4 linked regions of the Stegostoma tigrinum genome follow. The protein of the gene in region 1 interacts with the protein of each later gene in a pairwise test. Links are inferred from orthologs where the notes say so. Each region holds a gene or a part of one and is shown on either strand. Other genes may lie near its edges.

The links.
Region 2: the proteins of fhl3a (region 1) and patl1 interact in binary tests that used the Homo sapiens proteins (3 or more experiments, as listed by UniProt). The two-hybrid records come from large-scale screens. The link is inferred for Stegostoma tigrinum from reciprocal best matches to the Homo sapiens genes FHL3 and PATL1.
Region 3: the proteins of fhl3a (region 1) and uncharacterized protein CCDC198-like interact in binary tests that used the Homo sapiens proteins (3 or more experiments, as listed by UniProt). The two-hybrid records come from large-scale screens. The link is inferred for Stegostoma tigrinum from reciprocal best matches to the Homo sapiens genes FHL3 and CCDC198.
Region 4: the proteins of fhl3a (region 1) and mrm3a interact in binary tests that used the Homo sapiens proteins (3 or more experiments, as listed by UniProt). The two-hybrid records come from large-scale screens. The link is inferred for Stegostoma tigrinum from reciprocal best matches to the Homo sapiens genes FHL3 and MRM3.

What each region holds. Positions count from the first base shown.
Region 1 is NC_081377.1:18,276,128-18,283,931, reverse strand, and holds the start of fhl3a (four and a half LIM domains protein 3), read left to right. Parts: upstream 1-4,702; 5' UTR 4,703-4,919; intron 4,920-7,804. UniProt on the Homo sapiens protein: Recruited by SOX15 to FOXK1 promoters where it acts as a transcriptional coactivator of FOXK1.
Region 2 is NC_081399.1:4,433,036-4,440,102, reverse strand, and holds the start of patl1 (protein PAT1 homolog 1), read left to right. Parts: upstream 1-3,950; 5' UTR 3,951-4,059; coding exon 4,060-4,092; intron 4,093-4,246; coding exon 4,247-4,330; intron 4,331-7,067. UniProt on the Homo sapiens protein: RNA-binding protein involved in deadenylation-dependent decapping of mRNAs, leading to the degradation of mRNAs. Acts as a scaffold protein that connects deadenylation and decapping machinery.
Region 3 is NC_081363.1:49,545,108-49,553,044, reverse strand, and holds the start of uncharacterized protein CCDC198-like, read left to right. Parts: upstream 1-4,884; 5' UTR 4,885-5,001; coding exon 5,002-5,230; intron 5,231-6,467; coding exon 6,468-6,550; intron 6,551-7,937. UniProt on the Homo sapiens protein: May be involved in tuning the metabolism, energy expenditure, and excretion processes.
Region 4 is NC_081380.1:39,307,121-39,315,232, forward strand, and holds the start of mrm3a (rRNA methyltransferase 3A, mitochondrial), read left to right. Parts: upstream 1-5,090; 5' UTR 5,091-5,137; coding exon 5,138-5,433; intron 5,434-6,016; exon of another isoform or gene 6,017-6,091; coding exon of another isoform or gene 6,092-6,126; intron 6,127-6,286; coding exon 6,287-6,531; intron 6,532-8,112. Other genes in the region: glod4 (glyoxalase domain-containing protein 4), read right to left, coding at 933-1,022. UniProt on the Homo sapiens protein: S-adenosyl-L-methionine-dependent 2'-O-ribose methyltransferase that catalyzes the formation of 2'-O-methylguanosine at position 1370 (Gm1370) in the 16S mitochondrial large subunit ribosomal RNA (mtLSU rRNA), a conserved modification in the peptidyl transferase domain of the mtLSU rRNA.

The sequences.
Region 1 (7,804 bases):
CAGTATATATGGCTCAGAAAGAGGCCATTTGGTGCAAATAGTCCATACGTTTATAGTCAATTTGAGCCTCCTCCAATTCCTCATCTAAATCTACAGCCGTAAATGATACATTTCTTCCTCAAATGCTTGAGTAGTTCTCACTTAAAACCATCGGTAGTATGCTATTTGTTTCAACTGCTCATGTGGTAGCAAGTTCCACATTCTTACCATTCTTTGGGTATTGCGGTTTCTTCTAGATGTCTTGGTGGCTATTTTATATTGGTGGCCTTTATTTAAATTCTTTCTCAAAAGTGGAAATATTGAGCATAATTTAAATGTAATCCATGCGGGTTGAGACCACTGGTTGGAGGCCTGTTGGGAAAACTTTGTCATTCAGTAGGATGTTGAGGGGGAGGCAACTGAATGTAGTACCTAGCCAGTGTAGTAATTGGAATGCAGTCAACTGGGTGGGTCTTGTAGAATGTGTTCCCTGATTGGGGCTGTAAATCTGGGCCAATCAGGGAGTCCTGGCTGACAGATATAAACAGGAGTGTCAGGAGTTCTACTCACTCTAGGACATGAATTTGAACAGGCTGGGTCAGTGTCTTGTACTATGTGCATGTAAGTAAGGGGTGACTTGGTAACAGGATACCATCAACACACACTTGATCTATGTACAGTTTATGAATGGAAGAAAACTCATCATTGTAAACTCCCTTGCCTTTTCACTCTGTACTGTCCAGACAGAATGGGCTACAAGACACCAAGAAACAAGCAGAAAACACACCTTTCATGAGAGAGAGTTTTCACCTGACGTTCCTGTTGCTGGATCCTCTGTCAGTAGAAAGGCTGTTGCATGTCCTCCAAAAATTCACAACCAAACAATATAAGGTGCACAATTTGTACAAAAGAAGACACGAGAAAAATGAGTGCTTTGTTTGTCAAAAAGAGCAAAATGGTCACCTAATGTTCTTAGGGGAGAAAAAAAAGAAAGAAAGCAAATAAATAAACAGGAGTATTATGGATTCTACTCACTCTAGGAGTTGGCTCTGAACTAGTTGGGCCAGTCTCATGTACTATGCACATGTAAATACAGGGTGACTTGATGACAGGGTAGCAGCCTTCATCGAATTATTTCAGCCAATATCTCCAATAATTATCTCCTCTGGCACAAATATCCAGCGTGTCCAGAATTGTCAGCGAATCTGAGGCTAGCAGCTTGCTACCATTGCAATACACCACTAGGGGGTGGTGGAGAGACTTGAGACTGCAGCCAGAAAGACACCAAGCTGAGACATGACTGAGGGTGGGCAGCGGCGAAGGGAACACTGGTGTGAATGGAGTACTGACTAGACAGGGTGTCTGGGATGCTCAGCTTTGCCTCGAGGGAGGGTCTTGGCTCATAGAGGCAATCATTGGGAAAATGGCAAGACCTACATGCACCAGGAGGGAAGACACAGTGTATACGAATAGTTGTGATACAATGAGGATGGGCGGTGGATGGATTCAGGAAGTGTGGGCAGTTGGGAGAGTTTTGGAGATCAATTGCACACGAGTACTGGGGTTTGGGAATTCTGAAGAAAGCTATTGATGGAACTGTGGTCAGATTGAGTGTTGGCAGGAAGGTACAAGTTCTTTGATAGGTGAAAAGAGACTGTGTGCATTAAGGAGGGCCCTCAGTTGTTGTGGAAGAGTAAGCCACCACACTAGGAAGAGTGCACATTGGGATGACTAGTGAATATCAAGATCTCAGAATGAATAACTACAGTTGGGAAACACTCACTCTGGGTGGGAATGTAAATAGTTTGGAAATCTCTTTGGAAAGCAGTGCCAGGACAGATCAAGAAATAAAACAGAACTTGCTGGAAAAGCTCAGCAGGTCTGGCAGCATCTGTGAAGGAACAAACAGAATTAACATTTCAGGTTGGCTGCCCCTTCCTGCATCCGCAGTTCTTCCGTTTTTTTATACAGATCAAGAAATGTTTGGGAAAATGGGCCAGGGAGGTACTTAGTGGCGTGGAATACAGCCAGGATAGGAGATAGGAAATGAGTGCTTGGAACAGGTAAATTGATAATTCACAAGATCATGCAACTTTTGGATGTATTTTTCAGTTTCAGGAAGCAACTTAGAAATATTAAATATTTAAGATTGTTTTGATTTGTAGCAACACACGACATCTGATGTGGGATTTATGATTTGTGACATAATCTTGGGCATACTGACTGATGAATTCAACCATATGATACCCATTTTCCAAGCCAAAACTAGCTCAGTCAATCTCTAATTTAGCAGCTGGAAACGTGTGTGCATGTCTGTTCCAGGCAGATTGGTGAGGCAAATGTGTTCAGGGCATATGCTTGAAACGGGCAATTAATTTCAAAGCAAGCTGGGGGTTGGTGTGGTGCTCACTCTGTTTGAAATTCCCACAGCAGGTTGCTTTGCCCAGTTCTGCCTACATTCAGTAAAATCAGCTCCTGGGGCTGCATACAACCAAATTTATTTATACAAATTTATTTGCTTGAACACAGAGTCTAATTTTCTTTATACCTAGAGCTCCACCCACGCCCCCCTCCCACCACCACCAATCGCCTTTTATTTTGAAAGTTTTCCACTCGGCACACTTCAGATTCGCCTCGGCCTCCAACACTAGCCTCCTTGTCACTCACCTTTGGCACTCTCCACCAATATAAAACCTAACCTCTCAACATGCCCCAGCAACCACTCCCTCCTCCCAACATACATGTAACAGTTGCTTTCCGGAGAGACCACTCTCTCCGTGACTCCCTTGTTCGCTCCACACTGCCCTCCAACCCCACCACACCCGGCACCTTCCCCTGCAACCGCAGGAAATGCTACACTTGCCCCCACACCTCCTCCCTCACCCCTATCCCAGGCCCCAAGATGACATTCCACATTAAGCAGAGGTTCACCTGCACATCTGCCAATGTGGTATACTGCATCCACTGTACCCGGTGCGGCTTCCTCTACATTGGGGAAACCAAGCGGAGGCTTGGAGACTGCTTTGCAGAACACCTCCGCTCAGTTCGCAACAAACAACTGCACCTCCCAGTCGCAAACCATTTCCACTCACCCTCCCATTCTCTAGATGACATGTCCATCATGGGCCTCCTGCACTGCCACAATGATGCCACCCGAAGGTTGCAGAAACAGCAACTCATATTCCGCCTGGGAACCCTGCAGCCTAATGGTATCAATGTGGACTTCACCAGTTTCAAAATCTCCCCTTCCCCCACCACATCCCAAAACCAGCCCAGTTCGTCCCCTCCCCCCACTGCACCACACAACCAGCCCAGCTCTTCCCCCCCACCCACTGCATCCCAAAACCAGTCCAACCTGTCTCTGCCTCCCTAACCGGTTCTTCCTCTCACCCATCCCTTCCTCCCACCCCAAGCCGCACCCCCATCTACCTACTAACCTCATCCCACCTCCTTGACCTGTCCGTCTTCCCTGGACTGACCTATCCCCTCCCTACCTCCCCACCTATACTCTCTCCACCTATCTTCTTTACTCTCCATCTTCGGTCCGCCTCCCCCTCTCTCCCTATTTATTCCAGTTCCCTCTCCCCATCCCCCTCTCTGATGAAGGGTCCAGGCCCGAAACGTCAGCTTTTGTGCTCCTGAGATGCTGCTTGGCCTGCTGTGTTCATCCAGCCTCACATTTTATTATCTTGGAATTCTCCAGCATCTGCAGTTCCCATTATCTCTGATACATGTAACAGTAATTGATCCTGGCATTTCTTTACCCAACCAGATCTGCCATCATTTACCTGAGGGTCACTGCAATGTTGGAGAACTGGCTCGGTTTCATCTTCATTGGCACTGTTAGCCTGATGCCTGGGGTTTAGGTTGCCTTGGGATTATATCATTTGGGCACAGGGCAATGCACCAAGCTTAGAATTGGCCAAATTTCTACGTCTCTATTTTAAATCAATGCAATGGGGCTTGTTTGGTTTGGAGCTCATTTTTGCCAGTTACATCTGTGTTTCCTTTACTCCATGTAAAGTATGTAAACTGTTATTAAATATTTGAAATGTTTTACAAAATGAAAGGGCACAACCAGTTGGTCAGCGTCTGAAGAAACCGGATATGCTTCTGACTCATCAGGCAGGGATCCTGACTGGATCTTGCTGATGTGCTCCCAGATCTTAGTCTTGTTCAATCTTCCTGACAAACTTGTACATTTCTAACCATTTTCCGTTTGAATTTCAGATTTCACTCATCTTACTTGTATAGAAGCACTCGTTGCCTCTGCTGGTTCATAGTGTAAATTAGTGACATCATTAGGACTTCATTCATATTGAAATAGGTTACGTGTGCCCTAGGTACAAAAGCTACTGCATTTTGTGTTGAATAGGAATAAATCACCAGGGTTCCAGGGGATAAAACACATAATTTAGTTCTCGGGAAGGTTGGCACCAGATCTTTCCAGCTGCGATTCTCTTCAGGAGGAAGTAGCATTCACCTTTCTTTCGTTTATCTTGGACCAGGCTGCAGCAGTTGCCTCTTTGATATGATCACTTTGTTATAATGGGCGGATTGAGTAGGTGTTGATGGTGTTATCAGTGTGTAGTGATCGATAGGTCCAAGGTGCCATTTAGTCACACCTCGCGGCGTCAGTCAGTGGAAGGAGGCTCAGAGATGGTTAGTTGTTTGCTAATAACCTTGGCTTGGATACAAGGGTTTTCAGGGCGGGATCCCGTGAGTCACTTCCTGTACTTGTTGGGCCCCTAATCTTCCCTCTGTTCTGCCAGAGCCGTCAGAGCCAAGCCTGCTTCTCTTGCAGACTGTGTCAGGAGAACTCTAACCACTTCCCAAGCAGGAAAAAGCAAGACAAAGCTTTTCAGCACAGTGTGCCTTTGAAGCATTTATGTTAAAGCAGTGCTTTGATCACTGACCTGAGTTCATTGAAAATACAGTTGGTAAGTGTCCAATTTTTTTACTCTCTTGATATCTGACAATCTACTGTTACTAGCGCCGCTCGTGCAGCTTCTGACTCTCTGTTAGGAAACCACCTGGAGTTATGTGTTTTAGGTAGTGTTTCTAAAGCTCCCTGAATGTGCTTTGCCCTGCAGATTATACCCTGCTACAGTGTGGTTCCCCTGGCTATGTAAAGTCATTGAGGCCGTCGTTATGCGTAGATTAAAGCGGAGAAGAAACTGCACATTTTGTTGGCAGCTTCTCTTCGACTTTATGTGGAATGTACAGTTTACAACTGCACTTAAAGGGTCGCCTGTCTTTTTGCTGTTCCTGACCACTGCAATTACCCTTTTGGCGCTTCAGGGCAATTGGTCGTATTTTAAGCAAAATGCCATTAAGCGTCTCAGGTCATCAACACTCAGACACTACAGAACTGAACTGCTACAGTTTGAGGAAAACTGCAGTATAACTGCCTTAATCAGGGCACATGCGCCCACTGTTACTGAGACACCCACTGATTGACATTTACAGAGTAAATGTGAGCTGTGGGACTCCAGAGACAAGTTCTAAAGAGGGGAGTCGCTTTGCAAATTGCAGAGTTTTTCTTTTGAAAGTGAAGCGATATACATCGACTTTCAACAGTTTTACGAGTCCTGAAAGTGCTTCTCCCCCTCGCTCCCGTTATCCTGCTATTTCGTATTAGGTTACCAGCCCAGCATTCATCCTGGACATTCCCTTTTCCTCAGCGGTTTGGCGCAATTTGATACAAAGACATTGTCAAAAGCTAATCGCTTGAGGTCCAAAGAAACTCCGCAGTTTAGACGTTTCAGTAAATCTGTGGATTTTAATGAATGGCGAAGCCCTGCTATGATGCAATCTAGAATTATCCATGCAATCTGAAACGTTTGCGACGCAAAGGAGGAATTTGTCAATTTCGCTTGACGTTTCAAGCTTTCAAATTGGAACACAATTACTTCCAGTTTTAAGTGGAAAAAGATCTGCTGAGTGGATCGGGATGGCGAGAAGATGTGGGAATTGACGGAGCCATAATAAAAGCAAGACAGTGTGGTTTGGAAATAATTAATTTCTTAAAGCAGACCTCTCTCTTGAGTGTAGCACATACTCTGGGAGTCACCTTCCCACGGAAAATGTAGAGAGTACAAACGAACTGTAACTAGTTTCAGAGCAATGTGAAAAATGTGTGATTTCGGTGGGGTCTCTGGTAGACCCTGGTTTAAATATAATTTCCTCCAGCGCCAAGTTAACACACACGTTTACTATGAATGGGCGAAAAAAATGCATTGACAGTTTGGGCTTTTGATACCAGTTCAATCAATATTCCACCAGGAAAAGAAACCCCACCCCCAAATTTCAAGTTTGGATTAAACTGCTTGAACGGCTCGGTACTACAATTCAGGATTTTTTTAAAAAAATCACCGTTTTAATATCTAGATAATAATATTCACTGAAGTTCCAAAAGGGATTTATATATAAAATAGTTTGAGACGTTTGACATATTCGGCAATACATAGATTTCCATGTAAATTTAGAGGCTTCAAATGGCAATTATTTTTGGTAATCAAAGATTCTGACTGGAAATGTATACTTGCTGTGTCACTTTTCAAACAAGTGTCTGTTTCCCCTAGTTTTCCACAGCATTATACGCAAGTGGTCAATTAACATTAGTCCGCGGGTCGGGAATGTGACCCGGGACTGTAGTGGATGAGTATTAGAACCAAGATTATTTTTCCCTCTATAACCTTTAAACACTGAGGTGAACTACACTGGCCCCCATTAACACTCTTCCTGAGATGGATAATGCACTATAGATTATTCTTGTTTTGCCCTTGAATGATGAGGGAATGCTCAGGTGATCTGCTCCTTCGCTAGCCTGACAAAAGTTACACCCTAATTTTCAGAATACCAATTAACTAAATCTGACAGTTTTACAACTCTGTACGTGAGCTGTCAGGTGAGAGACAAACATTTGTATAGCGCTATTTATAATCTCAGGTCATCCCAAAGTATTTTACAGATGGACATACATTTGAAGTTTAGCCAAACAACCAACTTGCACTTAAAAGACTCCTCATTAACAGCAATGTAATAACGACTGGCTGATGTTTTTCTTGTGATGTGAAACAGTGGCAAGGACACCAAGGTTGTTGCCATGGAATCTCTTATGCCCACCTTAGAACAGAAGCAGAGCCTAATTTTAACCCTTGTTCTGCAAGATGGTATCTCTGACAGGATTATTCTCAATTGGCAACTTAGACTTTATGCCCAAGTCACCAGAGTAACCCTTCACAGAATCTCAGAAATGTCACAGCACGGAAAGAGGTCATTCAGCCCATCATGTCTGCACTGGCTCTTAAAATGAGCATCCATTGTCTGCTCCCAATTTCCTCCTTTTTTCCTATGCCCTTTGGACATTATTTCTATCCAAATATCCTTTAGACCTGCTGAGTTTCTCCAGCAATTTCTGTTTTGAATCAATTGAACCTGCCCCCACCACTTCCTGGCTATATTCCAGACGCTAACTACTCACTGTGCGGAAGTGTTTTTATTTGCATAACAATCTTTTACAAATCATTTTAAACCTATGCCCCTTGTTTTTCTTCCTTTTACAAGCCGAAACAGTTTCTTCCTATCTACTGTATCGAGTCTGTTCATTATTTTGGGAACTTCAATCGGATCTCTTAACCTTCTTCTCTCTAAGGAGGTCAATCCCAACTTCTTCCATCTATGCTCCCAACCAAAGTTTCTCAATCCTGAAACCATTCTTGTAAATTACTTCTGTGCTCTCCATTGCATTCACATCTTTCCCATAATGAGGCACCCAGATCTGCACGCAGTACTCCAGCTGAGGTCTAGCAAGTATTTTGTA
Region 2 (7,067 bases), on another chromosome or scaffold:
GCTTGAGAACATGGTAGTGAACTGCATTCCATCTGCTTTTAGTAGACTTACACAAGGAGGGAATTCCAGCATTTTGATCCAGTAACAGTGACGGAATGATGATATATTTCCAAGTTAGGATTGTGACTGGTTTGGAGGGGAATTTGTAGGGCGTGGGATTCCGGTGTATCTGCTGCCCTTGTCCTTTTAGGTGGAAGTGGTCATGGGTTTGGAAGGTGCCTTTGAAGGATCTGTGGTTAATTTCTGTAGTGAATCTTGTAGACAGTATGCACTATTGCCACTGAGCATTAGTGCTCGAGAGAGTGGATATGGTGCCAATCAAATGGGCTGCTTTGCCCTGGAAGGTGTTGAACTTCGAGTGTTGTTGAAGCTACTTCCATCCAGGCAAGTGGAGAGCATTCAATCATATCCCTGATTTGTGCCCTGTAGATGGTGGACGGGCTTTGGGAGGGTCAGGAGGTGAGTTACTCACTGTTGTATTCCTAGCCTCTGACCTGGTCTTGCAGCCACTGTACTAATTTGGCAAGTCCAGTTGAGTTTCCAGTCAATGGTAATCCTCAGGACATTGATAGCCAGGGTAGTGTGGATTCAGCTCCTACATCATAAGGTTTTAAGCTTCTTGAGTGCGCACATCCAGACAAGTAAGGAGTATTCCCTCACACTCCCGACTTGTGCCTTGTAGATGGTGGACAGGCTCTGGGCAGTCAGGAAGATGAGTTGCTCACTGCAATAGTGGGGATTAGTCATGGTAACTTAATTGAATATTCAAGGGGTGATGATTACATTGCCTGTTATTGGAGATGCTGTTTGTTTTGCATTTGTGTGGTGCAAATATTACTTGCCACTTATCAGCGCAAGCCTGAGTATTGTCCGGATCTTGCTGTATTTGAACATGCACTGTTTGAATATCTGAGCTATCATGAATGGTGCTGAACATGTATAATCATTGGCAATTGGCCTGTGTGGCACCTTATCAAATGCCTTTGGGTATGTAAGTTCGCCTTCAGGGCCTTGAAACATCAAGATGTCTTAGAAAAGATATTGATCAACAGCTACTTTTATCCAACTCAGCAAATTGCAAAAAGTGCACAAAGCATGAGTGAGGGCGATAGAATTGGAGGTGGTCCTCCATAGATGTCCAAGCTAACAATTCAGGAGAAAATTTCAGTGATCAGTTGTATTTTGACATTCCTGGTGATTTTGAGTCCCTTGATTCAACTAGTCTGGTGTTTATAAAGTCGTGTGATTACCAAGATTATACATTCTAACCAAGAAACACGTCAGAAGCGGAACAGGATGTAATACCAGAAGTTAGAAAAGTAGTGCAGAGGTCACCAGGTTGTCTTTCATTTCCCCAGGGTAGAGGACACCTCATTGTGATCAACAAATATAGCAGACTAGATTAAATGAAGTGCAGGTGAATTCCTGCTATCTCTGGATGTTGTGTCTAGGGTTTCGGATAATGAAGGAGGTGGTAAACAGTCAGACAGTGTACCACCTTGCATAGCATGAGAGGGCGCTGCAGTGTTGAGAGCAGAGGACAAGTGAACTGTGTTTCCTGGGGAATGGTCATGCGGATTGCTGACAGGTGTGGGTAGGTGATAGACATCTGGTGGCACCCTGACCCCCGAAATGGTGGCTTATGATGCTTCGGATATGAAGGTTGGTGGGTGTTTCTGTTTTTCAAATCTCCATCTCCCACAGTTATTTGTTGGATTATTTTTCTTGGAACCTATCCAAAGTACTCTGAATTCTCTTCCTCATGGCCATCTCTGCCAATCTGCTTTTCCCAAATCTACATTAAGATGAACAGTAGCCATGGTTAACATACTACCTTTGTTATAGCTGCTGTTTACGGACCTCTTTACTGCTGCTACCAGTGCAGCCTTCTCCTCGTTATTTCTTACCACCACCCATGTGTATCTTGTACGCTGTAAATAAAAATCATTTCTTGTCATTCTACTTTCCTGTACCAACATTTCCAACCACCATCCTTGCTTCCTGTCTGTTCCTTTGAAAAGCCATGTAGCCCTGAATATTTATTTCCCAGCTTTGAGTTCCTTGTAAATAATAATGGCTATAAAATCATACCCATTAACCTGTGGTTGGGCATACTCTGAATGTTACATGCATTCAAGATACTGTCTGTGACAAAGCAGTCCACTTGATTTGCACCGCATCCACAAATATTGAATCCCTCCGTGACTAATGCTCTGTAGCTGCGTTATGTACTGTTTGCAAGGTGGACTGCGGAAATTCGCCAAGTCTCCTTTGGCAGAACTTTCCAAATCCATGACTGTTAGGATTTAGGAGGAGAAGGACAACAATTCTAGTTGAGCACGCGTGACAACAAAATCTAATTCCAATCACTTTGGCCCTAAATACATGGGAACACCACCACTTTACAAGCAACTCACCATCCATACATAGTTGAAGATTGGAATGTGTACAATGTTGCCATGTGTGAAATGGAATCAAGAACAGTAAGCAGTTAATCCCAGAATGACAAGCTGACCAGACCTATGCCCAGTGACTCTGTGAGATATGGAGACATGCACTCTGCGCAGTAGTTTTGTGACGTGGAGGCCAGAAATGAGCACAGTAACTCCTTTTATTAAATGAAGGTGATGACAGTGTGCAGCAACTATCGTAGTGCTTTTGGGACCAAAACTCTGTAAGTGAAAACAGAGTGAATAGAAGCGAGGTAGGCAATTTGGCCTAGCAATCTGCTCTGCCATTCAACCACCATGACACCATTTTCCCACACTATCTCGGTATTCTTTATGACCTTTAATGTCCAAAAGTTTCTTGATCTGCCTTTGGAGTATTTTCAATTCAATATTTTCAATACACTTGAGTCCTCTTGGGTCGAGAATTTTGAAGATTCACCACCCACTGGGTCAGGAGTTTCCAAGTCATGTCAGTCCTAAATAGGTTGGCTGTTTTTCCTGAGACCATGTCGGCTGGCTCTTGACCCCGCTGCCTGCCAGGGGAGTGTCCTTTCTGCAACTTTCCTCCATGCTTCACTGGACTTGTCTGCCATTTTTCCAGACTCTTGAGGGCGCAGGTCCAGTTTCCTCAATTCCTGAGGAATTCCCAAGTCTCAACGTGCCAGTAACGATATGTATCTTCCTGTTTCAGTCCCTCGATGACAGCCCAATCGAGGAAGATGAAGAAGCTCTCAGAGAGGAAGATCATGATATCGACCAGTTCAACGAGGACACGTTTGGGCCTGGGGCAGTGGGTAAGTCAAGGCCTTTGCGATTTGTTCAGATGCCCACTCATTGTTCATTTTCAGATATTCTATTCTTGACTCCCTCTACCTCTGACTGCCCTTACTGTGACTGGGGTCTAGCTGCCGCTCACACTGTGACAACACAACAGTAGCAGTGTGTCTGGGCTCTGTGCTGTAAGTGCTGTTCCTGGGGATGCATACCAAGTCAAATAGAAACTACTGCTGGTGGAGGGTCATCAGTTTGGTGGAAAGCACTGATTTAACTGCTGGAAGCTTGTGAGTTTTTGACCCACAGCAGCCCCTTAGTCCAGGAACCCATCAACCCCTTTGAGAAGTACTCTAGTTATTAAATGCAGTGCAAGTATGTTGAAGCACTTACTGCAATATGCTCAATGGAGATAATGTTGAGCATTGTTGTATTTTCTGTAATGCCTTGTTTGAATTGTTTTGGAATACACTATTGGCGATTTTATGAAAAAGCTACAGTCTACAAAAGATACTTGAGAACTCAGATTTGAGGAGGTCTTTGAGTATCAGTACATTGGCTGTGTGTTATGGGTGACTGTCTTTAGGCAGTGGGCCGATTATGATTTGGGAGACTTGTATTTACGGTTGGATTGCTCCTGAATGAGGAAGTTAGCTCAGAACGAAAGCCTAAGCTCCATCTGATGCTCTTGAGTTTGGCTTTTGCAGAGGACTGGGAGGAGCAGCACGATGGCCTGGGCGATCCGACAGGAGATCCAGACGACCTTTTAAAGGAGAACAACTTGGCGGAGAGCATCAGCAAGCTGGTCATCGACAGCGACCTGGAGGACCCGGCCATCATGAGGGCAGTGCCGTCCCACCCTCCGCTGCAGGTGGGTCTAGCCTCGTGTTTGCGGTGTCACACAGCACCAGCTCTCTGTCCCTCCTTGTCCAGTTTCAGTCAGGCTGGATTTTAGAGAGACACTGCTGCTGTATGATCCCTACCTGTTTAAAAGTCTCTCACTGACCCCTGCAACTTGCTCACAGGCACCCCCTCGACTGAACTCGAGCATGTGGGAAGGGCCCATGGTGTTCGGTGGAATCGGAAATCCTTTTCTTTCCCACTTAGAGGTAAGTAGATTTGCTTGTTTATTTCACCTCGATTTCTGCTAACTGAACTTTGCTGCTTTCTTTGTTAACAGCATCAAAATTAATTTCCTGCAGCTACTGCCTGAGGATGTGCATTCCTTTGGAGAACAGTCCTTCTGCTTATTTAAAATTGGGTTGGGGGGGGTGGTGGTGTTGTGATGTTGGTGGTAATGCATGGTGTGTGTGTCTCGTTGACTCATCCCTATAAAATAGGAGGTGCAGTTCAAAAAGGGGAGCAGGAACAGGGCGTATAAATGCACAGACCATTGAAAATGTCAGAACGGGTAGCAACATCAGCAAAGAAAGCACACGTTTTCGACTTTTTATCAGGAGGGCAGGGAGTACAATAAATCAGACCTGCTGCAGATAGATTACATGCTAAAAGTGGCAAGGATGGTGAATAAAATTGTTATTTAGAATTGGTAAAGTTAGTTAAGCATTAGGATGCTTTGCTGGAAGAATGAAATTGAAAAGAACTATACGTATAGAGGTTGGTAGAATTGTGCTCTGTTCTGACCTCTTTTTAAGAAGGGTTGAGGAGCATTGGAGTAAGTGTAAAGCAAATTTGAAAGGGCAATATTTAGCTGAAGTCATCCAGTATGTGACTAATAGGGCAGGTGTTGTCCGGGCTCTGACCCTGTGATGATAGTTCATTTTCTTAGCAATATTGTTGGTCAACCTGGGAAGAAATCAAGGTGCTTTATCTGTCTGTGCACACTCAGCACCAGCTTACAACTAGATTATGGTTTATCCCTCATCCCCAGATGTGTTACTGTGGTCCTCACACTCAGTCTCTAGTCTGCAGCTGATTTAGACTGATCTCTCACCCTCAGCATGTTAGTGAAGCCCTGAAACTCAGCCCTCAGCTTATTGTTGAGGTGGTCTGATCGTACATCCCCACTTGTGGCAGGATAAGGCCCTTGCAGCCCTTTCCTAGTGTAGATGCCAATCATCAGTCAATTCAGTTCACTCCGCATAATTTCAAGAAATGGTCAGACATACTGAAGAGGCTATGGGCCCTAACAGCATTCCAGCAATAGTACTGGAGACCTGCGCTCCAGAGCTTACCACTCCCCTCACCAAGTTGAACCAAGCAGGTGAACCTGACATTAGTGGTGGGCAGGTTGTTGGAGGGGATTCTGAAAGATAGGATTTACATACATTTGGAAAGGCAAGAGCTGATTAGGGATCGTCAACATAGCTTTGTGTGTGGGAAGTCATGTCTCTCTAATTCGATTGAGTTTGAAAAGGTGACGAAGATTGATGAAGGCACAATGGTAGACATTGTCTAAATGGACTTTAGCAAGGTGTTCAGTAAAGTTAGGCATTGTCAAGTGGTTAGCAAGGTTGGGCCACATGGAATCCAGTGGGAGCTGGCCAATTGGGCTTGAAGCTAGGAGACAGAGTGGTGGTGGAGGGTTGCTTTTCAGACTGGGGGGCCTGTGACCGACCAGCGGTGAGCCACAAGCATCGGTGCTGGGTCCACTGCTTTTGAATGATTTGGATCTGAATACAAGAGGACTGGTTAGTAAGTTTGCAGATAACACCAAAATTGGGGTACTGGACAGTGACCTCAGAGTACAACAGATGGAATTTAATTTTAATAAATGTGAGGCTTTGCATTTTGAAAATACAAACCAGGGCAGGACTTGTACAGTTAACAGGAGGGCCCTGGAGAGTGTTGGTGAACAGAGACCGGGAGAAGCAGGTGCATACATGTGCATAAAAGTGGTGTCGCAGGAGGACAGGATAGCAAAGAGGGTGTCTGGAATGGTTGCCTTCATTGGTCAGTGCATTGAGCACAGGAGTTGAGATGTCAGGACATCGTTCAAGCCGTTTTTACGATACTGTGCTCAATTCTGCTGTCCCTGCTATCCAATGGATGCTGTAAAACTTAGAGTCATAGGGATGTACAGCATAGAAACAGACCTCTTCAGTCCAACTGATCCATGGCATAAGTGTGTGCTATTTCTAAGATGCACTGCAGAAATTCACCATACCTCCTTTGACTGTACCTTCCAAATGAATGGGACAGGTAGATAGCTATGAGCACCCCATCCTCAAGTTCCCCTTTAAGCTCCTCATCATCCTGACTTGAAACACACTGCTGTCCCTTCAGTGTCATTGGGTCAAAACAGTGGAATTCCATCCCTAAAAACGCTTGGACTTCTTTTTATTCATTCATTCACAGGATGACTGTATTGCTGGCTAGGGCAGCATTTATTGTCCACCCCTAATTGCCCAGAAGGCAGTTAAGAGTCAGCCACATTGCTGTGGGTCTGGAGTCACATGTAGGCCAGACCAGGTAAGAATGGCAGTTTCCTTCCCTAAGGGACATTAGTGAACCAGATGGGTTTTCCCAACAATTGTCACTGGATTCATGGTCATCATCAGACTCTTAATTTCAGCAATTTATTGAATTCATATTTCGCCATATGCCGTGGCAGAATTCGAACCAGGTCACCAGAACATTATCTGGGTCTCAGAATGACCAGTCCAGTGATAATACCGTTAGAGTGCAGTGGTTCAAGAAGGTAGCTAACCAATGCATTGTCAAGAGCATCTAGGTACAGTCAATAAATACTGGTTTTGATGTAGGAAAAACTACTGTCCCCAGAGAGCAATGAGAATCTGAAACTTGCAATCACAGACTGAACTTGGTGTGAGCAGTGTTACAGTATTTAAGGATAAGCGCAGTGAGAAAAGGACTAAAAAGATC
Region 3 (7,937 bases), on another chromosome or scaffold:
ACGAAGATGTATATTCTGTGAATATAATTTAGTTGTGTGAAATAGTATGCTATTATGACAGTATTACTTTTTGAAGCAAAGATCTATGGTATACAATATAAGTATGACAGTTAATAAATTATTAAAAACAACATTATTGCAATTTAAAGTTTATAAAATTACATGGGAATGGGTGTTAGTGTCAAATAAAGTTTTTGTAAAGGTCCTTGCATTGGGTTTTTTATTATTTATTTAATGATATGGTCTTTGGTTAAAAAGAACATTTTTTCCTTTTGATTGTTGTTACTGCATTCAGTTGTATTCTAACACAATCAAAATAAAAGACTGATAGAGCACATGTAAAAGTGTCCTGCTTTTTCATATATTTATCACACTGTGACTATTTGAACACTGTTTAAATGTCCCAGTTAATGCATGGGAAATTTGTGCTGTCAGTTCTACAAATTTTTTTAATGTTTTTAAAACATGGGCAAGGAAACCTTCAGCTGATTACCACGCCCAATCCTCCCTCAGCTGGTGATTCGGTACTCTTCCATGTTGAACAACACTTAGAGGAGGCACTGAGGATGGCAAGGGAACAAAACGTACTCTGGGTGAGGGATTTCAATGTCTTGGGAGCAGTACGACTGATCAAGCTGGTCGGCTCCTAAAGAACATAGCTACTGGATTGAGTCTGCGGCAGATGGTGAGGGAACCAGCAAAAGGGGGAAACCTATTTGACATCTTCCTCATCAATCTACCAGCTGTAGATACATCTGTCCATGACAGTATCAGTAAGACTAACCACACAGTCCTTGTGGAGAAAAGGTCCTGCCTTCACATTGAAAATAACCTCCATCATGCTTCGTGGCACTATCATCGTGTTAAATGGGACAAACTTGAACACATCTAGCAACGCAAGACTGGGCATCCATGAGGTACTATGGGCTATCAACAGCAGCAGAATTGTACTCCAGCACAATCTGTAACCGCAAGGCCCGGCATATTCCCCACTCAACCATTACCTGAAGATGAGGTGTCAACCTGGTGCAAGCCACCAAAGAGGACTAGTTTCACCCCAAACAGCAAAAGCACCAAGTGATAGAGCTAAGCAATCCCATAACCAACTGATCAGATCTAAGCTCTGCAGTCTTTTCGCAGCAATCTTCAGCCAGAAGTGCCCAGTTGATGATCCATCTTGGCCTCCTCCAGTGGTCCCCAGCATTACAGATATCAGTCTTCAGCCAATTCATTTCATTCCACCTGATATCAAGAAACGGTTGGAGACACTGTATACTGCAAAGGTTATGGGCTGTGACAACGTTCTAGCAATAGTACTGAAGATTTGAGTTCCATAACTTGCTGCTCTGCTCACCAAGTTGTTCCAGTGCAGTTACAACACTGACATCTACCTGGCAATGTGGAAAATTGCCTAAGCATGTCCTGTACATAAAAAAGCAGGATAAATCCAATCAGGCCAATTACTGCCCTATCAATCTCCTCTCAACCATCAGTAAAGTGATGGAAAGTGTCATCAACAGTGCTATCAAGCAGCCACTGCTCAGCAATAAACTGCTCAGTGACACCCAGTTTGGGTTCCACCAGGGCCATTCAGCTCCCGACCTCATTACAGCCTTGGTTCAAGGGCAAAAGAGCTGAATTCCAGAGATGAAAGTGACAGCCTTGACATAATGGCGGCATTCAACCGAGTGTGACATCAAGGAGCCCTGGCAAAACTGGAATTAATGAGTATCAGAGGCCAAACTCTCCAGTGTTTAAAGTCATACCTGGCAAATAGGAAGATGATCGTGGTTGTTGGAGGTCAATCATCTCAGCTCGAGGGCATCTCTGCAGGAGTTCCTCAGGGTAGTGTCCTAGGCCCAATGATCTTCAGCAGCTTCATCAATGACCTTCCTTCCATCACAAGGTCAAAGGGGGGGATGTTTGCCAATGATTGCATAATGTTCAGCACCATTCACAACTCCTCAGACACCAAAACAGTCCATTTCCAAATGCAACATGATCAGGGCAATATCCAGATTTGGGCTGACAAGTGGCAAATAACATTCATGCCACACAAATGCCAGGCTATGACCATTAGCAATAAGAGACTATCTAACCATCATCACTTGATATTCAATCGTTACCATCACCGAAGCCCCAACTGTCAATATCATGGAAGTTATCATTGATCAGAAGCTCAACTGGACTCACTACATAAACTCAGTGGGCCACAAGAGCAGATCAGAAGCTAGGATTACTGCAGTGTGTAACTTGCCTCCTCTCTCCTCAAAGTCTGTCCACCGTCTACAAGGCACAAGTCAGGAATGTGATGGAATATTCCCCAGTTGCCTGGATGGGTGCAGCTCCAAGAACGCACAAGAAGCTTGATACCATCCAGGATAAGGCAGCCCGCTTGATTGGCACTACATCTACAAGTATTCACTCCCTCCACCACTGACTCTCCAGAGCAGCAGTGTGTACTGTCTACAAGATGCACTGCAAAAATTCACCAAAGATTCTCAGACAGTGCCTCCCAAACCCACAACCAATTCCAATTAAAAGGACAAGGGCAGCAGAAAAATGGGAACACCACCACCTTCAAGTTCCCCTTCAATCCACTTACCATCCTGACTTGGAAATATATTGCCATTCCTTCACTGTCACTGGGTCCAAATCCTAGGGTTCCCTCCCTAATAGCATTGTGGGTCAACCCACAGCAAGAGGACTGCAACAGTCCAAGAAGGCAGCTCACAACCACTTTCTCAAGGATAACTGGGTATGGGCAATAAATGCTGGCCAGCCAGCGATGCCCACGCCTACAAATTGGAAAAAAAAAGGTCTTTAAAATGAGACTGACACATGGCAAGGGCTCTCTATGCTGCAAAAGATACATTGTTTTGGGGGGGATACAGTGCAGACGTGCTCAAGTGATACTAGAAACAGTAGGGTTAAATTATTAAGACTGGCAACATAAATGTGGTTTGCATTCTTTTGACTGCAGAAGCTTAAGCAATGGTCCAATCAACTCTTGAAAATGTTAAAGAGATTCAGGACAACAGGTATAATAAATCTATTTCCTTTAGTTGGGGATTCCAGGACAAGTTTGAGAATATTAGTAAAAAGGCCCAGAGGACCTTGAGCATTAACATAGAGGCATGGAATAAACAAGGAAATTATTATGCCTCTTTATAAACATGGGTTTGACCTCAACTTAGAAAGGGAGTATAAAAGATTTATGCAAAAGTTTCATGGATGAGGGATTTCAGTTAAATGATACAAAAGCTAGGATTAGTTTTAGAGAATATTGAGAGTTGTTTCAAGTTGTTCAAATTTGTGATTGATCGAGTTAGGGACAAATTGCTGTCATTGGTGAAAGGGTCAAAAAGCAGAGGATACTGAGTTAAGATGGTTGACAAAATAATCAAAGGCAACTTGAGGGAAACCATTTTTATGTAGTTCAGGGTTTTGATTTGGAATGGATTGGTGGATTCAATCATAGCTTTTGAAATGGAAGTGCAATACTATTTGCAGAGAGCCAGCATTGGCTTGAAGGACCAAGTAGCTTTCATATGTGCTTTGTCTATTCTATAATTTGATAAGAGGTACAATAAGTTAATGAAATGAGGAAACACTTCTTAGCTGACCTTTGTCAGAAGTTAACAAGTGATTGAGAAAACATATGGCATATTGACCTTTATTACAAGAGGATATGAGTATTGGAGTGAAGATGTCTTATTGCAATTATGCAGATCTTTTGTGAGTTCACATTTGGTATATTGTGTATGATAAAAACCAAAAAAAACTACGGGTGCTGTAAATCAGGAATAAAAACAAATTTGCTGGAAAAGCTCAGCAGATCTGGCAGCATCTGTGAAGGAAAAAACAGCGTTAACGTTTCGGATCTGGTGACCCTTCCTCAGAGCTATATTGTGTGTGATACTGGTATGTTTACCTAAGGAAGGATATGCTTGTCACAGAGTGAGTAAAACAAAGGTTCCCCAAACTAATTCCTGGGATGGTTGTTTAGTCCTATAAGAGGAAATCAGACGAGCCTATATTCCCTGAAGTTTAGAAGAACGAAAGGTGATTTCATTCAAACAGGGGAAATTCTTACAAAGCTTGACAGCGTAGATACAAGAATGATGTTTCCCCTGGTTGGGGTGTCAAGAACCAGGAGACACAATCTTAGAGGCAGGGGCACACCATTCAGGACTGAGCTGGGAAAGAATTTCTTCACCCAGAAAGTGGTGAATCTTTGAAATCCTCTGACCCATGAGACTATGGAGGATTGCTGTTTAATTATGTCCACAATTGAAATTGATAGATTTCTACATCTTAAAACAGAATCAGGGATAGTGCAGGGAAATAGTGTTGAAGTAGATCAGCTATGATCTCCTTGAAAGGCAGAAGAGACTCAGGGCTGAATGGCCTACTCCTGCTGTCATTTTTAATGCTCTCAGAGATGAGTATAGTATGCCAGGATGAAGATGGGGAATGAAATTTTCTGAGCAATATTGAGAAGGGCACAAGAAGGCTCATTAGATTTGAAAGATTAACCCTGCTTTCTCTTCACAGATGGTGCCAGTTTCTCCAGCAGTTTATGTTTGTTTCAAATCAACATCCGCAATACTTTGTTTTATTGTCACAACACGACCTCTTCCGTTAACTTTTCCAGTGTGCCCTTCGATGGTAAAATAAAGACAGCGATGAACAAAGTAAGGAGCATGCTATCCAGATGCAAATTGCTTTTTAAGAGCGGATTATTCCCTGCCAGTGTTTGTAGGTCAGGCATGACTGAGTTCAGCATTTCAGAGACTTGGGGGGCGGGTGGCTGCAGACCGGAGCGGGGATGGTAACTCTTTAACCCGAGATGGAAGAGTTTGCAACAGGGGCGTTACCTCGGTAACAGAAAGCCTCCCCGGGGAAGCTGTAGTTGATTATAATGGAAATCTCCAAGGCAGACTCAGACCGGCACCTCACACACGCTTGTCCTGATGCTTAGAGAGTGCATGGGCGAAGATGGGTTCGGGATGGTCAAGAGGCCAACGCAAGCTGATCCAGGTGAGGCCGCTACCCGCAGCCCAGGCGGCTATTTGCCCCGGAGTGCAGCGGTACGGCAGCAGCCGGGTAGACAGCTCGCTTGTGATACACGACCACCTGAAGGCAGCCTCTCTGCGCCGAGGGAGCGAACTTCCTCCCCTGAAGGAGGTGCGAAATGGCACTCACGCACTACCCAACCTCAGGCAAGGTAGGTGCAATGTGGGCTCGGAGCGGGGAGGGGGCTTGAGCAATGTCAACGTTCAGCAGGATTTATAGTATTCACTCTCTCTGAATCGTTTTTTGTTTTCACAGAGGATGATTAGCGAAAGATTCGTAAAGTTGGTGTTTTGTACAATCTCCAGATTATTTAGTTCCATTACTCCGTTGGGCGGAAGAGCAGCCTTTTACAAGAGAATCTGTTTGTGCAAATACATTTTCCATTCAGCAGCTTTTCAAGTCCATTAACTTCTGTCTCCACAGTTGATTGTAATTTCTTACAGATCAGGGAGCTCAAGGATTTGTCAGTTTCCTTGTGCATTTCACTTTGTTAATTATTATCCAAATTTACATATAACTTTAGCGTTTGTTTCGGCAAAAAAGGTCATTGGTGTTTTTGTGCTGCTAGTGTTTGACATGGCGACCTGCGAGGACGCTTGGAAGTGCTGTCCATCAGAGGAATTTTGATGTGGCAGTCCACAGTTTCTTGAAGGCAGCAGGTCGGCTGGCGAAGGAGCATGTAGGATACTTGCCTTTATTGGTCAAGGTATTGACTACAAGACCAGGGCAGGCTACGATGAAGCCGGAAGGAAGATGAGTTAGGCCGCAGCTAGAGAGCTGTGTGCAGGTCTGGGCGCCGCTCTATAGTAAGGATATGATTGCACCAGAGATCACCAAGATGTTTGAAGATAAAGCGATCCAGCTATGAAGAGAGACGAGATAGGCCCATCTCTGGAGAAGGGTCTAGGACCGAAACATACTTCCTACTTCTCAGATGCTGCTTGGCCTGTTGTGTTCATCCAGCTCTACACCTTGTTATCCGAGATAGGCTGTGTTTTTTCTAAAGATGGCTGAGGGAGACGCAGGGAACCTGATTGAGGTATACAAAGTTATGAAGGGCATAGCAAACTTTCCCCTTAGGAAGGGGGTCACTAATGGGGTGGGGAGGAGCTGCATTGGCACAGATTTAAGGTATGCAGCAGTAGATTTAAAGGGAATTAAAAAAAATAAATCACACAGGTAAGAATCATCAAAACATTTCAGAAATATTTAGATATCTACTTGAAATGCAAGTGTGTATAAGGCAATGGGCCAAATGCTGGAAGGTTGAATTGGACTTTAATATAATGCTTGATGACCAGCATGGATGTGAATGGGACAAAGGGCCTTTTCCTGTGCTGTAAAAACTGTGTGACTCTATGTTTTTCTTTATATTTTCACCTTTCAAGTACCTCGTGCCTTCTCATTTGAAAGCAGTTTGGATGATGGGGAAAGGAGCATCATCAAAAAACATCCTCCCCGAAAATTTGAGGTGAGAAGTATTTGAACTAAATTATTTTGCAGCTGTCAACATGCCGAGTCTGTTGTAAATTAGTCAAAAAGTAAGAACAGACAGAAATTCTAGCTGGTATCATGTCCTGGGAAATGACTGTCCTAACGCTCAATGGTGAGGATAGTTGGAGGCTGGATGTACACTGAATGATGTTCACCTGGAGCATGTGGAATTGAATACATGGGAATTGTACAGTAAATGGAAACTCTTGATGGGCGGTTACCTGGTCTGGAACTCACTGAAAGGCTCCCCGATTGAATTAGAACTGAAGTCTTTGGAAAATTCAGACTGGCTTCATGGAATCCCTGCAGTGTGGAAGCAGGACTTTCGACCCATTGAGTCAAAACTGACTCTCTGAAGAGCATCCTACCCAGACCCACACCTTACCCTATAAATTCCATGGCTAATCCTCCTACCCTGCACATCCTTGGACTGTGGGAGGAAACCCCAGCACCTGGAGGAAACCCGCACAGACACAGGGAGAATGTGCAAACTCCACACAGTTGCCAAAGGCTGGGATCGAATCCAGGTCCCTGGCACTGTGAAGCAGTAGTGCTAACCACTGAACCACTCTGCTGCCTCAACTTGCCTGAATATTAAGTCAGGAATATCAGATAAGTTTGTTGCAGTACTACAGTGGCCTGAAAATTTGTTGGAGCAGGATTGACAGGAGTCATGTGTAGAACCCTTGAGAATTGCCCAGGAAGTTAAATTTTCTGATGGGTGATTGTCCTGCGTCTGGACTCCTTCAAAAGAGTCAATTAATGTCAATTAATGGAGGGCTCAAATTCATTTAAGCTCAATAGTTACTCTAGAAAGGTAAAAAAAACATTTCTTTGCCATTGGTAACTATCAACTCTTCCCCCAATATCATCATTGGCACTACGACAGCTGCTGAACCCTAACATACCCAGAGTAACATCCTATACCCCTAACTTAACCCCCTTCTTCGCTGGCCTGTTATTGCCACCCTCTCCTTCACTTCACCTCTCCCATCACCCAATGTGTTCCTATTGATGCTAAGATCCATCATCCCTGACCCAAGCTGAACGAGAGATCCAACCCCACCAGCACTGCCTAAATCCCCAATCTACTTGAGCTGGTACCATCTTCCCACCCAGTCTGGCCCTGCTGGACCCAATACCGCTCCCTGACAATAACTGTTCCTCCCTGCAACCTACCATGAGCACCCTCCTGGTACCCTACCTCCCTCATTTACCTAGCACCCTATCTCCCTCACTCACCTGGCACAATGTCTGTCTTACTTTACAGACTTACTGTCTTCTCAGTTATTGTTGGTGGTTTTGGGGCCTTTCATTCCTGAAATACAGCATCATGTCATGAAAAAGAGGCACGTTCTGGCCTG
Region 4 (8,112 bases), on another chromosome or scaffold:
CCATTTTGCTATAATGTTGAATAATACTCCAGGCTTTCATTTTAAAAAAAAAAGCTCATGATCCTAGATGCCATTTTCTCCCCCCTCACCCTATCTTACCACCTGCAACTTAGTGAACAAATACCTCTGGATCCCCCTGCACTTGCATTACCTGTATAAACTGTATTTGGTTATATACAGGCCTTTATTTTTAAAACTGTAGGTTTGTGAAAAGTAATTTTGATCTGCAACTTTGAATTTAGGCTTGGGTTAGCAGGACCTTGAGTTTAACTGTACACTGTCAAAAGAACACAGAGATAGTAGGAAATGCAGATGCTGGAGCCTGAGATAACAAGGTGAGGAGCTGGAAGAACACAGCAGGCCAGGCAGCATCAGAGGAGCAGGAAGGCTGACATTTCAGGTCTGGACCCTTCTGATGCTGCCTGGCCTGCTGTGTTCTTCCAGCTTCACACCTTGTTATCAAAAGAAGTCCTTGTGTTTCTGCATGAGCTGTAGTCTGTGAAATTTAAAATAAAACAGGGACTTTATCATTTTAGTCAGTACTACTTACAGCCCAGATAAAGTAGGTCAGCAATTTGCCATACCACTTAATTTTAACCAGAGCTGTTCCCTTGGCATTGAAATGCTGCACAGAACATTTGGAGGTCGTGTAAACGCAGTTTCTGAACACATCATTTACCCAACCATAGAGATTAAACCTTTACACCCCGCACCTTCTCTGCGAGGATAGAACAGGCCTAACTTGCATTTTATTTTGCAGTGGCTGCAGTTATAACTGAAAAGGCACCATTTCCACTCAGCCCTCTCCAAGTCAAACAGGCTGAGTGGGGACAGAGCACTTAGGGTCACACAACACAGGGGCTGTCTGCCCAAATGATGCTGAAGCATTCCCTTCGGATTTACAAGAGTAGAATTAGAAACAGCAAACTCACAACCATGCCCAGAACATCCTTGTAAAATCTGGCAGTCCGAGCCCGGTCTCCCACTTTAAAAACAAAATGCAGCGCCCTTCCCAGCACCATGATGGCCAGGGATGAAGCTGCAACGTGCCTCACGTGACCGATTGATCATGTGATCGACCGATCACGTGATCCAACCGCGCTTTGCTACATATGTCCCTGGATCTCGTCGAGTGAAGTTAACTGTTCAAACGGCTGTAATCTCAGTGTTATCGGTTCTACCCTCCGGGAAACAAACAAGAAGCAAACAGCTTCCCAAACTCTGAAATAAAGTCACATGTACTAGAAACACCCATCGGGGTCATTTATAAGGAAGGATCATCGATCCTGAAACGCTCGCACTTGTTTCTCTCCACAGATGCTGTCAGACCTGCTGAGATTTTCCAGCAACTTCGGGTTTTTGTCTCTGATTTCCAGCATTCACAGTTCTTCTGGGTTTTCATTTCACTCTGGGAATGTTTCAAGTGGAAAGTTCCAGAGGAAGATGTAAAGATGGGAAAGAGAAGGTGTCAGCCCAGACCATTGTCTTGAGTGTCCTAATCAGACCATCACATGGTGGACGAATTATTAACGTGAAACTATTTGAGGAATGAAAACAAGTGAAATGCTTAGTTCAAGGATAATGTCGTGCGACTAAGGATGAATATCTTGGGCTTATCATTGACCAAGGGCTAAACAGGACTAGCCATATAAATGCTAGCTAGAAGAGCAGGTTAGAGGCTGGGAATTTTGTGGTGAATTACACACCTCTTGACTTCCCCAAAGCCTGTCTACCATCTACAAGGTACAAATCCCGAAGGTGACAGAAATATCCCCATCTATCTGAGTGGGTGCAACTCCAGCAAAGTTAAACAGGTTTGAGATACCTAGGATAAAGCAGCCAATTTGGCTAGCACCCTATTCAACACCTTCAATATTTACTCCCTCCAAAAGCAACGCACAGTAGCAGCAGTGTTGTTTGCACAGCAACAATTACTAAGGCTCCTCAGGCAACACCTTCTGAGCCCACAACCATTAGGAAGACAAGGACACTTGTTTCATGGGAACATCACCACCTGCAAGTTCACCTCCAAGCGACGCAACATCCTGACTTGGAAATATATCGCTGTTCCTTCACTGACACTGAGTCAAAATCCTCCCTAGCAAAACTGGAAAATTTTTTCCCCTTCCAAAAACAAAGCCTGCAGTTCCAGAAGAGGGCTCACCTTTACTTCTCCAGAGCAATTAGGGATGCGCAATAATACTGGCCCACTCAGTGAAGCTGACATCCTATGAATGAGTAAAAGAAATGTATATTACCAACAACTGTAAATCAATAACAAGTATCTTCCGCTGGATCTCTGGTTTTGCTTCAAATATTACCCTAACATTTGTGATGACCTGTCATGTTATACCTCAGGAAATAGCTAGACTACGATCTCTAACCCATGATAGTTAACATTAAATAACACTCAGCAATGTGAACACGGGCTCATTTATCCAGCCCAGAAGGAGCCAAGGTTAACAGTATTTGCAACAGATATGGAGAAGCTAATTTTACCTCGAGGCAGCTAGATTAGCATAACTGCCTTGCTCCAGGGGGAAAGTGAGATGTTATGAGCTCAGATCCCACCTTGGAACAGGCTCAATTGCTTCCACTCATCGGAGAGATCAAAACTTAAGGTCTATTTAAATCCAGTAAGAAGAACTTTTGTCTAGAGAGTGGAGAGAATGTAGAACTCTATCAGCGGGAATAGTTGAGACAAATAGCATGGATGTATTTAAGACAGGATTTCCCAAGTGGTTCATGAGCTGAAATCTTAGGACAGGTCACTTGGCAGTCACTCTACATCACAAACCACTTGTCTACCCACTGAGCTAACCAAACGCTGTGACTGATGGGGATTTTTTTAATCAATTAAAAGTTGACAAATGTTCTTTCCCCAAAAGCCCAAAAATACAAAGGAACCATCACAAATCAAATTGAAATGACATTTCAGGGGGATGCAGTAGTCAAAAATGTCAGTAAAACAGATTTCAAATTCTTTTCAATTCGATCAAAGAAACAAACAAAGAAACCTACAGCACAGGAACAGTCCCTTTGGCCCTCCAAGCCTGTGCCGATCAAGATCCTCTGTCTAGCCTGTCATCTATTTTCTAAGGGTCTGTGTCCATTTGCTCCCCGCCCATCCATGTACCTGTCCAGATACATCTTAAAAGACGCTAACGTGTCTGCGTCTACCACCTCCGCTGGCAACGCGTTCCAGGCACCCACCACCCTCTGCATAAAGAACTTTCCTCGCATATCTCCCTTAAACTTACCTCCTCTCACTTTGAACTCATGACCCCTAGTAATTGAGTCCCCCACTCTGGGGGGGAAAAAGCTTTTTGCTATCCACCCTGTCTATGCCCCTCATGATTTTGTAGACCTCAATCAGGTCCCCCCTCAATCTCGGTCCTTCTAATGAAAATAATCCTAATCTACTCAACCGCTCTTCATAGCTAGCACCCTCCATACCAGGCAACATCCTGGTGAGCCTCCTCTGCACCCTCTCCAAAGCATCCACATCCTTTTGGTAATGCGGCGACCAGAACTGTACACAGTACTCCAAATGTGGCCGAACCAAAGTTCTATACAACTGCAACATGACCTGCCAACTCTTGTACTCAATACCCCACCCAGTGAAGGAAAGCATGCCATATGCCTTCTTGACCACCCTATTGACCTGCGTTGCCACCTTCAGGGAACAATGGACTTGAACACTCAGATCTCTCTGTTCATCAATTTTCCCTAGGACTTTCCCATTTACTGTATAGTTCGCCCTTGAATTAGATCTTCCAAAATGCATCACCTCGCGTTTGCCCAGATTGAACTCCATCTGCCATTTATCTGTCCAACTGTCCAGTCTATCCATATTCTGCTGTAATTTCTGACAGTCCCCTTTACTATCAGCTACTCCACCAATCTTAGTGTCATCAGCAAACTTGCTGATCAGACCACCTACACCTTCCTCCAGGTCATTTACATATATCACAAACTGTGGTCCCAGCACAGATCCCTGTGGAACACCACTGGTTACAGGTCTCCAATTTGAGAAACTCCCTTCTACTACTACCCTCCGTCTCCTGTTGCCCAGCCAGTTTTTTATCCATCTAGCTAGCACACCCTGGACCCCATGTGACTTCACTTTCTCCATCAGCCTGCCATGGGGACCCTTATCAAACGCCTTACTGAAGTCCATGTATATGACATCTACAGCCTTTCCTTCATCAATCAACTTTGTCACGTCCTCAAAGACTTTAATTAAGTTGGTAAAGCATGACCTTCCCTGTACAAAACCATGTTGCCTATCAGTGATAAGCCCCTTTTCTTCCAAATGGGAATAGACCCTATCCCTCAGTATCTTCTCCAGTAGCTTCTCTACTACTGACGTCGGGCTCACCGGTCGATAATTACCTGGATTATCCTTGCTGCCCTTTTTAAACAAGGGGACAACATTAGCAAGTCTCCATTTCTCTGGGACCTCACCCGTGTCTAAGGACACTGCAAAGGTATCTGTTAGGGCCCCGGATCAGTTGCAGATATTTATCAATTTTAAAGTGGAAATGGTACCTACTGGCAAGGCTTGATGTGGAGGTGCTGGTGTTGGACTGGGGTGGACAAAGTCAGAAATCACTTGACACCAGGTTATAGTCCAACAGGTTTATTTGAAAACAGCAGCTTTTTCAGCGCTCCTTTTTCAGGTGTTGGTGAGAGACGTAGTATCAGGCACAGAATTTATAAGTAAAAGATCAAAGGGTCACACCATTGATGAGGATGTACTAAACAAACCTAAGATGCTGTTAAATCTTTAATCAATGAGAAGATTTTAATCGATTTAATTGAGATAACTGAAGGCAGTGTAATGAAGAGGTGACGCTTTAGGAGAGACAATGCATGTTAAGTATGAGGCCTTGCTTAGAATCTGTTTGTGTTTTAATTTGCAGTCAGATTGGTTTTATTTCTCGAGTAGAAATTGATAAAACGCCACAACGACTGACGGTCTCTACCTCAGGTAATGTGTTATTTTGAACTGGTTCTGGGAACGAGCAGCGAGACTTGTACAGGTCATGTGACCCCGGGGAACCGATAGAGGTCACCTGACTCTCAGGGGTTTGTTACATGGCCGCGCAGGCGCATTGGTGCCCGCCTAGCTGTCATGGCGGCGCTCTGGAGCAACGTTCCCCGGTGGGGAGCTGCTTTGATCCCGGGGGCTCGGCATCTCCGGGTCTTGAGGAGGAGGCCGATTGAGGTTCTGTATCCCCAGAATGAGGAGGCCGCAGCCGCTGGCCGGGCCGGAGAGGATCGTAGTCGCCCGGTGGCCGGGAGTCAGCGCGGCCCGGTGGCCAGGAACCCTGAGCCGGCCCCGAGAGGCCAGCCCCGGCCGCCCTTCGGCCCCCATTCCCTGGACGGACTGTCGTACGAAAAGGCGTTTCCCGGCGACAAGCGGCTAGCGTAAGAAATAGCGCTGAGAATTACGCGAGGGGAGCCCGAAACCTGGAGTCTTTCCCCTTCAACCCCCCACCCCATTCCTCCTCACAGCCTCTCCTGGTGTTACCGGTACTCCGTCACCCAGCACTAGCTCCTGGTCCTCCAACATCTCCTTTTTATTAATAACAAAAACAGAAACTACAAGGAAAACGCATTTATGGTAGCAGGGTCTCTGGAGCCGAGGAAACAACTCTGCTTCCTCTCCACGCTTGTTGCCAGGCCTGCTGAGTGGTCCTAGCAGTTTTTGTTTCTGATCCACGCCTGCGATTTTTTTTTTGTTTTCTCTCTGTTTTATCTTCAAATCCTTCCATGGTGTCATCCCTCCCGACATCTGTAACCTTCTCCAGCCACATAACACGCCACGATTTCCATCATTCTGTAATTCTGGCCTGTTGGGCATCCCTGACTTGAATGGTCTTCTCCCCGCCCCCTTCTCATGGAATGAGAGCACTACTGTCAAAGTAAAAATGTTGCCCTTGAAAAGCTGGAGCTGAATGGAGCCACTGTATCTGTGTGGAGTAGCCTTTGGTTAATTGCTGTCAGCTCTGGTGTTTCCTTTCCTTCTGACTGTAAGAGGAGTTGATGATTTGGATCTTTGGTTCCCAAACAATCCATTTACTGAATGATTATCAGTCTTGACTCTGGGTCTGCTAAAGGGTAAAAAGAGAGTTATTGTTGCCATTAGGGCAGCAACTGTGTTTATTAGGCTATTGCCAGTAAACACTGAGCCTGATGGATTGCAGTTTCTCTGTCATAACCATTTGAAAGTTCCCTTTTCTCTGTTTAGAACTTAATTATTGGCCTCTCCTTCCAATAGAAAAGTTGTGACCCTCGCCAAGTCCAAGAAGTTCCGTGAGCAGCACGGGAAGATCCTGGTGGAGGGTCGGCGATTGATAACCGATGCCTTGGAAGCTGGAGCGCTGCTGCAGACTGTCTTCTTCAGTTCAGTGGAGAGCCTGAGGGAGCTGCCTCTGGACAAACTGAAACGTGTCCAGTTAATAAAGGTCAAGTTTGAAGAGATCAAGATGTGGTCTGACCTTGTAACTCCCCAGGGAGCAATAGGTAAGTTGCCAAAGTAATTTCTTTGGATGCCCATTTTATTGGTGAGCCAAGGCTGTAAGAATAGTGTGGTGAAGGTGGTGTTTGGTACACCCTGCTTTTCTCCGTGCATTGAGTATAGGAGCTGGATGGTCATGTTGTGACTGTACAGGACATTGGTTAGGCCACTTTTGGAATAGTGTGTTCAGTTCTGGTCACCCTGCTATAGGAAGGATGTTATGAAACTCGCAAGGCTTCAGAAAAGATTTACAAGGATTGTGCCCAGTTTGGAGGGTTTGAGCTATACAGTGGGACTGGATAGGCTGGGGCTTTTTCCCTGGAGCATCGGAGACTGAGGGGTGACCTTATAGAAGTTTATAAAATAATGAGGGGCATGGTTAGGATGAATAGTCAAGTTCCCCAGGTTGGCGACTAGAGGGCATAGGTTTAAGGCAAGAGCTAAAAGATATAAAGGGCCTAATGGGCAACTTCTTATGCAGAGGGCGATGCATGTGTGGAATGAACTATCAGATGAAGTGGTGGAGGCTGGTACAATTACAACATTTTAAAAGGCATCTGGATGGGTATATGAATAGAAAGGGTTTGGAGGGATGTGGGTCAAAAGCTGGCAAATGGGACTAGATTAATTTAAGATACCTGGTCAGCATGGACGAGTTGGACGGAAGGGTCTGTTTCCATGCTGTACAGCTCTAAGACGTTATGCTGGGTGTCTTGAACAAGTTGTGATGAAATGAAGAAACAGTGGTCTGGAAAGATTGCAGCAAAAAGCAACCTTCACATATTACATTGCTTTCAAATGTTCCAAAAGCAGGAGTTATATCAAGGTGAGTGCGTATAAGAAACAAAAATTGCTGACGGACCTTTCAAAATTCCTCTGTTGTCCCTAAAATCATGGCTGCTTTGTTACTGTAATCCTTAATTTCCAGCCTATCCCCTAATACACAGAAATCTATTGAACCTTTGTTTTGTTTTTTCTTGAATGTACTCAGTCTCACAGGATCCAAGCTGTATTAGAGAATTCCGAAGGTGTGCAACCCCTTTTGATGACGTTCCTCCTTATCTCTGTCCAAAGTCCTTCTGAGGGTACCATGACCCAGTGTTCTCGTGTTTCTAACTACAGAAGCGTTTTCTCAGTACCCATCCTGTTGAGAGTTTTTGCACGTTCCAGTGAGATCTCCTCTTTCTCATCTGCAGGAAATGTGGGCTTGATATGTTTAATCTTTCTTCCTTTGGTTAATTCTCTTACCAAAGGTGTGAGCTAAGCAATTGTTATCGTGTTCTCCTTAGCCAAGAATGTATTTCCTTGGGTCTGTTTGTGCACAGCCACATTCCACAAAGCATTGAAATTTAATTGTGATTTTCTCTTTCATCCCAACTTTTGATGGGAGATGGAGGGATGTGAACGCGATGACTCCTTGCTTTACATCGGGTGATGTCTTGGCATCTTTAACCCACTGTGGAGCTCTACTTCAGACATTAATTTTCCCTGTGATGAACTGTACCTGTCGTATAGCAGGCTTTGAGCTACTGCAGAGAGAGAGATCCTTGTTAAATAGGTTCAGCAGAGGGTAGGGTCCCCGTGCA